Ovis aries: one gene and its partner. The protein of the gene in region 2 binds, or shares a complex with, the protein of the main gene of each other region. Links are inferred from orthologs where the notes say so. Each region holds a gene or a part of one and is shown on either strand. Other genes may lie near its edges.

Evidence for each region.
Region 1: the proteins of JAML (region 2) and CXADR are in contact, whole or in part, in a crystal structure (PDB 3MJ7), measured with the Mus musculus proteins. The link is inferred for Ovis aries from reciprocal best matches to the Homo sapiens genes JAML and CXADR. Residues at the interface, in NP_001005421.3 of Mus musculus: Arg57, Asp59, Ala69, Tyr72, Phe75, Tyr77, Leu80, Val82, Glu120, Arg122, Ser127, Met128, Val129, Met130, Lys131; in NP_001020363.1 of Mus musculus: Thr23, Gly51, Pro52, Asp54, Glu56, Leu58, Ser60, Gln65, Ile66, Val67, Asp68, Gln69, Val70, Leu73, Tyr83, Lys121, Lys123, Lys124, Ala125, Pro126, Gly127, Val128, Asn130.

What each region holds. Positions count from the first base shown.
Region 1 is NC_056054.1:140,291,073-140,294,890, forward strand, and holds part of CXADR (coxsackievirus and adenovirus receptor), read right to left. Parts: intron 252-3,818; coding exon 47-251; intron 1-46. UniProt on the Homo sapiens protein: Component of the epithelial apical junction complex that may function as a homophilic cell adhesion molecule and is essential for tight junction integrity.
Region 2 is NC_056068.1:28,632,969-28,636,786, reverse strand, and holds part of JAML (junctional adhesion molecule-like), read left to right. Parts: intron 1-452; coding exon 453-690; exon of another isoform or gene 691-1,549; intron 1,550-3,818. UniProt on the Homo sapiens protein: Transmembrane protein of the plasma membrane of leukocytes that control their migration and activation through interaction with CXADR, a plasma membrane receptor found on adjacent epithelial and endothelial cells.

The DNA of each region.
Region 1 (3,818 bases), on a different chromosome or scaffold from region 2:
GCTACTACAGTACTGTGATCCCTTACCCTGTTAATAAGTAACTTACCAAGAACTGTCAGCTGAATCTTCTTATTTCCAACACCAGGAGCTTTTTTCACTTTGCACTGATATGTGCCAATATCGGACAACTGTAAATTTGTCACATTTATTGAAGCGTCACCAGATTTGAGATCATTACTTGTAAAATGTACTCGTCCTTTCAGATCTTGATAGTAGTCATCATAAATTTTGTCTCCGGAATATAAAATAATCTGATAGAAAGCCAAAATAAGACAATGAGAAAACAAGCAAGCAAGTGAACTCCCTGTCTTGTTAAAGGAGTTCTAGATACACCACAGTACTGTAAGGATCCAAAAAAACAAAAAAAGAACACAATATTCTGAGGAATCTACAACTATTCAAACCACAGGTTAAGAAAATGGAAGGAGGATGTGAGGGCGACCTGTTTGCAACATCTGTCAGCCCACTGATCACCGGGGCTGATTCAGCTGATCTGGCTGGCTAGATTAGCCCCTCCCTCCCTCACCACTCCAGGAGCGCCCCTCCAGGAGCGCCCCTCCTGAAGCTGCACACACGGTGGGAGATGAAGACCATCCCCGATAGAGGAGGATCGGTCTTCAGTCAAGGGTTTAACGAGTAGCTGTGCTCTCCTACTAGAATCTCCAAACGAGCTCTCAAGAAAACAGAAAGAGGCCAATATGATCCTTAAGTATTTTAACACACGGTCATTACAGATGGGGAAACCAAGACCCGACATGATTAAATAATACAGTCCTCTATGCGAGCCATACGGTGAGACCCACAAGAGCGTGGATTTGTGAATTCTTATGCACTCTGTTTTTCAGCTGCCTCAGAGAAAGAAGTATGCCAATCAACTGTATACAATCAGGTTATCAACCACCACCACTACTCCCCAAAGAGGGCTTATGATAATTTACCTGTGGAACTTAAGAACAGTAACAACAACAAAGACATTTTTTTATCTTAATATACTAAGCTAGGGGCACTTGAAGGTTCCAGACTACAACAGATAAAATCATAAACCTGTTAAGATGTGTCTGCCCAACCTGGTTAACAGGACCTTCCAATAAATTTTCAGAGACTAAAAGCAAAGACCCTTCACGACTGAACTGAACTGAAAATTAATTTAAATACTTCATACATTTTATTCACTCATGAAGTCCTTCATTCTGGCCCATCTGAGACCCAAGGGCCAAAGAGCAATAGTACCAAACTTAAATAATAATCAGAAAACTACAGCATACATCCTGCAGACCATTCATCTGGTACGTTCAGTAAGATCGGAATCGGCACTATGTGTAGGAATTTCTCCAGAGCACAGACTTGGGTTTTCTTTCATCTCCTCCTCTACCATGTTGCCCCCGCTCCTAATTCACTAAAGATCTTTTGCTTACATATTAAGAGTCAGCACTGAGGAAGCACTCAATATCAGCTTGCTAAGTAAATAAAAGCAGTTGAAGGGTCCACAGCTGACTTGCTCTGTAAACATAAGCCATCACTTTATTTGCTCCATCTCTGCCCACATCCACCTGTCAACAGCAGTACTGAGAGCTCCTTAAATGTATCTTCCTCTGTATTATCCCATGGACTCTCTTGTTGTGAAAAGCCAGGAAGTTCAACCCATGATACTTTGAACCCCTCATTTTTACACATACACACACGCCTTTCTAGGAGGCCCTAGTCGTCAGTCCCTAAGTCGTGTCTGACTCTTTGTGAACCCGTGAACCACAGCCTGCCAGCATCCTCTGTCCGTGGGATTTCTCAGTCAAGAATATTGGAGCGGATTGCCATCTCCTTCTCCAGGGGATCTTTCTGATCCAGGGATCGAACTGGAGTCTCCTGCATTGGCAGGCGGATTCTTTACCACTGAGCCACGTGGAAGCCCAGCCTTTCAAGGAGGGCCTGACAAATATGTCTTCACGGTCAGTCATTTTTGTAAACTAACGTGGTCATGTTCTCATGAAAACAATTTTACAAACAGTAGCTAAGAAATGGAGAAGTAACATGTACCAGGCAATTTTGATTCCTCTTTACAGCCCAATGGGGATGGAGGCACGATCCACATTTAACGTTTTAACCGTGCGGAAGGCAGTGGCTGCCACAGACCAACTCTCTCAATACCGCTGCGATGGAAACCACATCCATCCGGTCTGGCATTGCAGGCTGCCTACATGAACATTTCTGTATGACTTGTAGACTCAGAAAACACTAAACCATACAGTATTTTCAGAAAATTCTTATCACAACCCTGAGAAGCAAGTGTACCTGCTCTTAGTTTACATATGAGGAAACAGAGGCTTATGAAATATGGGAGGCAGTACATGATACTGTATAAGATAATCCAGACGGGTCAACACCTCCCACGGGGGGTGGGAGGAGTAGTCGGGAAAGATCTGGGCTCAAAACCCCTGCTGTGTTTGTTGCCAGCTACGTGACCCTGGGCATGTTCCTTCAAATTCCTGGGCCCTCCTTTTCCTCCTCCTCGAATGTATAATGATCTTCATTCTGGGGTGTTGTTTTAAAACTTAAGTAAGTATATATAATTAAAGTATATAAAACCCTGTCCAGGGTTTATAAAGCATATAAAGCTCAGCACACGGTAAGTGAATGAGTACATCATAACTGCTGATTAAAGAGATCATGCAGGGAATGAGGAGGGAAATTTCTCCAGCCCAGGCCCCCATCACACTACCTGCTAGCTTAAAAATATTACAAGAAGGATTTAGCAAGCATTATAATACAGTTGTAATTCTATGCACACATCCTCCTATGCATCAATCTCTCCCTAACTCTTCTTTCTTTTGGCCTTATTTACTGTGCTTTAGGTTAGAGGCTAGGTGTCTTAACCCAGAAATGGACACTTCAGCCCAGCACCCACTATCACATTTGTCTCTCAGTCCTGTGGACTGTGTGGCTTGTGACTAAGTGGCTCCCACTTAACAAAGAAGTCCTTGGATTCTCCTTCCCTGAATGGAAACACAAGGCTCCAGGACACACTGGCCTTTTTGATCTCAAGAGGCACCTTGTCACAGGGCTTCACCCCTGAGCCTTAAGCCAGGATCTGTGCTCTCCATTCTCGCATCTCAACCATGGAACCAGAGTCCTGGATTCTAAAGGAGGTAGGCACTTCACTGGCAAAGGAATGAGGGGCGTGCAGGGCTCAGGCAGAAGCCTGAGTTCAGGGTATTGGCACTGCCATGGGAAGAGGGGAGGGATGAAGAGCAAGATGGGAGGGGGACAGGGTATCCGGGCTGAGTAGACAGGAGGAGTTGGGCTCAATTTCTTTTCCTTCAGGGAGAGAAGGAAGTTCTCATATCAGAATCAGGGTAGAGATATATCCTTGGAGGGAGTGGCCCCAGCCACTTACAACTCAGGAAAGCACCTTAATTTTTTCCTTCACAAAAACAACATGGGCACACTACTTGTATTTGCCAAAAACAATTAATTACCTAACTGCACTGATTCAGCCACTAACTGCTGCCTGGATAATCCCTTTTTTTGAGATGAACCACAAGTAAAAATTTCCCTTCCAAATATATATATATATATATATATATAAAGAGAGAGAGAGAGAGAGAGAGAGAGAGAACTGTTCAGTTCAGTCACTCAGTCGTGTCCGACTCTGCGACCCCATGAATCGCAGCACCCCAGGCCTCCCTGTCCATCACCATCTCCCGGAGTTCACTGAGACTCACATCCATCGAGTCAGTGATGCCATCCAGCCATCTCATCCTCGGTCGTCCCCTTCTCCTCCTGTCCCCAATCCCTCCCAGCATCAGAGTCTTTTCCAATGAGTC
Region 2 (3,818 bases):
TAAGATCCCACATGCTGTGGGGCAACTAACACCCAATGCAGCCAAATAATAGTAATAATGAAGAAATATATACACAGTATGTCAGGTAATAGTAAGAGCTATGGAGAACAAGAAAGCAGGCTTTTGTGATTGTTTTTTTATGTAGGTGGTCAGGGAGGCCTCACCAAAAAGGTAACATTTGAGTAGAGGTCTCGGGGAAGTGAAGGAGGCAACCATGTGTCTGTCTAAGTGGGAAGAGTGTTCCAGGCATAGGGAGCAGCAAGTGCAAAGGCCCTGAGGCCAGCACTTAGGAGCAGCAAGGAGGCTGGTGTGGACCCGTGTGTCCGTGGCTTTGTGTTTTCTGATACTTTCTGATGATACCTTTACTGCTTCTACACGTAGGGCCTGTGAATCCCGAGAGCTCCCTCCAACCCCAGTCCTTCAGTCTCTTACATTTTGCCTTTCCCTTCTAGGAGGAGATTGTGTTGTGCTATCAGCCCAAACTCAGGGCGCCCAAAGGGTACCCCCAGAACTGGGGCCGCTTCCGGAACCGTGTGGACTTGGTGGGAGACACTTCCCGCAATGATGGCTCTATAATGCTCCACGGAGTGAAGGAGTCTGATGGAGGAAACTACACCTGCAGTATCTACCTGGGGAACCTGACCTTCAGGAAAACCACTGTGTTGCAAGTGATCCTGAAAGAGCCCCGAAGTATGTAACATCTGGCCGGGCGGGGAGGAGGGGCTGCATAGCTGGTAGGCAGGGGCAGTACTAGGGTGAAGCTGGAGAGGCTTCTAGGATGCAAAATTTAAGGAGGCATCACTCTCAGGTCCTGTACTTGCCTGCTCCTGATAAGCCTCGTACTTATCAAGCACTCCTACCCTGTGCTTGCATGACCTTGAGAGTAATCCCTCCTTAAATTTGGTCCCCTAGGCACCTTGCCTGCCTCACCCTAGTGCTTCCCTGATGGTAGGTCAAGGGAAAAAAAGGTAATAATACTGAGTGAATGCCAACCCCTCTGCCAAGCCTCACTCATGGTTTCTGTAATATACCAATTTAAAGATACAGGAGCTCAGAGATGGATTTGGGTCATTTTGACTTGGCTTCAAAGGAGATGCTCTATGCTCTGTAGTAGAAGGGAAGATGCTCCTGAGCTGGTGAGAGACAGCAAAGAACAGAGGAAACAGGAAGGGGAAGGAACCAAAAATAGAAGGAGTTTCTGATCCCAGGTTCTTTATTCTGGCAGTGTGTATTAAGGCCATTGGTGAGGAGGAGAGTAAAGACTCAATTGTGTTGACTGAGAGAGGTTGATAAGTAAGGGGTTAAAGTTAAACCGGAACCCAGTTAGCAGTCAGGATGTGGCCTGTGGACTTTGCCTTTTGCGAGGGCCCCAGGGGTTGGCTGTGGTTGGCTGGGGGCAGGGATAGGGGTGAGGAAGCACCTCTACCCTCAATACCTCTGGCCAGAGACTTAAGTCCATGGAGGCGCCTTCTTGTCAGTAACGGAGGATGCCAGCGGGAGAGGGAAGCAGGACAGATGGCTTTCTTCACTCTCAGAAGTCTTCCCTCTGCTTCACAGGAAAGAGAAGCCATTAGCGGGGGCTCATGCAACTTCTGAGCCCTCCACACCCTCAAGCAGACCTCCATCTACTCCTTCCTCGTCTTTGCCTGCCGTCCTGAGCTCCCTTCCCTCTGGGGGCTTATCTGAGCCGCTGTGCTTCTCCTCCTTCTCAGGACCCTCACAACATGCCTCTTTAAGCTCCACGGTCCATGGGCTTCTGCCATTAAGCACACGCATACACTCAACTCTTCCCCTTACCCGTGTCCTTGTCTCCTTTAGCTCTCACCCTATGTCATACCTTTTCTTTTTTCCCCTCTTTCACTTGACCTTTATTTATTTATTTATTTTAATTGGAGGATAATTACTTTGCAGTATGGTGCAAAGTACATCAACATGAATCGCACATAGGCATACACGTGTCCCTTCCCTCTTGAACTCCTCCCCACGTCCCTCCTCCCACCACCCCTCCAGGAGACACAGACATAAAGAACAGGCTTTTGGACTCAGTGGGAGGAGTCGAGAGGGTGGGATGATTGGAGAGAATAGCATTGAAAGATATACATTACCATATGTAAAATAGATAGCCAGTGTCTTACTTTTTCTTGAAACACCTTTATTGAGATACAACTCACACGCCACACAATTCACCCATTTAAAATGTACAACTCAGTGGTTTTAGTATATTCCGAGTTGTGCAACTTTCATCGAGATACATTATGCATTTCTTTCTAGACACAGTCAGATAGTTTGCTAAAGGACTGAACTCAGTGTCTTCTGTCTCATCTTGCATTAACCCCTAGTACTCTGCAGTCAGCCTTCTACTTGCACCTCTCCTCCAGTGTAGGTCACCAGTGGCACTCTAACTGTCTATCCTTGACCTTCCCCACCCCAGTAGCATTGAACACCATGTTCTGTATACGTTTAATATATTCTGTTAGACGCAACCTATCTGTCCATCCATCCATCCATCCATCCATCTCTGTATATGAACGCCACCCAGATATTCCACAAATACTCAAACACAAATAATCCAAATCTACCCCTCACACCTTTCTCCTGCCCACCTCTCCAACCTCAGTTGATGCCACTGCTATCGACATAATTATCCAACTGGATAATCGTACTGGATATTATCCAACTGGATAATCATACTGGATATTATCCAACTGAATAATTGCCTGGGAGTCGTACTTGATTTTTCCCTTTCCCAGGACCCCTAGTCTAACAAGTCAACAGGTCCTGTGATTTCTACTGCTGACTTTGGATCTGTCTTCTTTCTCATCTGGCACCATCCCCTGGCATCATTCTGCCTGTCAACCTGTCTCAGACTGTAGGCCTCTCACCAGTCTCTGCTTTCGCTTTGTCGCTACCCCTCATTCTCGGTGCGATCTTTCTCAATCACAAATCTGAACTTCCTACAGCCTTTCAATGTCTTCTGCATTGCCTACAGAAAAAAACAAAACACAAAGCAAAACGAAAAATTGAAACAAACTCCTCATTGAGATAATCAAGGTCCTTCATGACTTAGATCCTGTTATCTACCCAGCCTCATTCCCCATCACGCCCTCAAACACAACCTTAGACCCTCTTTCTAGTTTCTCTAAGCACCATCCTGAACCGAAAGGCTCCAGATGTTGAGTTTAATATCCCTACCTCCCCCACCCCAATCCTTCTCCCATTGTTGCTAAAATCTTTGATAGTTCGTTTCAGACTCAAATTTTACAACTTTTGCTGACAAAGTCTCAGGTTCTGCTCCCCATAGAACCGGGAGCCCTTTCCTCAGCGCTGCTTTGTCCCGCATGCGGACTGCTCTCACAGTACCTATAGCGTCTGTGGTGTTCCGTGCACACCCTCCCCCTCCTTGAGGGCACAGACCATGCGTCATTGGTCTTTGTATCTTCCGTGCCTAGTACTATCTGGCACCCAGGAGGTGTTTGATGTATGTGTTCGGAGTGAATTGAGGAAATGGGTGAAGGGTGCTATATAGATGGATGGAAGTGTCGTGCTTGGTATCATGACTATGGGGCTGTGTTGTAGCCTAGATACCTTTGAAAACAATCACTTCACCACAGAAAGGGCAGCAGCCTATAACATGTCTGTTTTTGGTGAACCACATTTTAAGATAGAATTGTTAATGTAAACGGAAACTCTGCTGTACGTCAGGTGATATTCTGTTTACCTACCCACCTTCATCTATATTTTAAGGGTAAAAAGGGGTGGGCAAAGGCTGGTTCTCAATCTAAAGGGGTCAGCTGGAGTCCCAGTGCTTCCATGTGGGG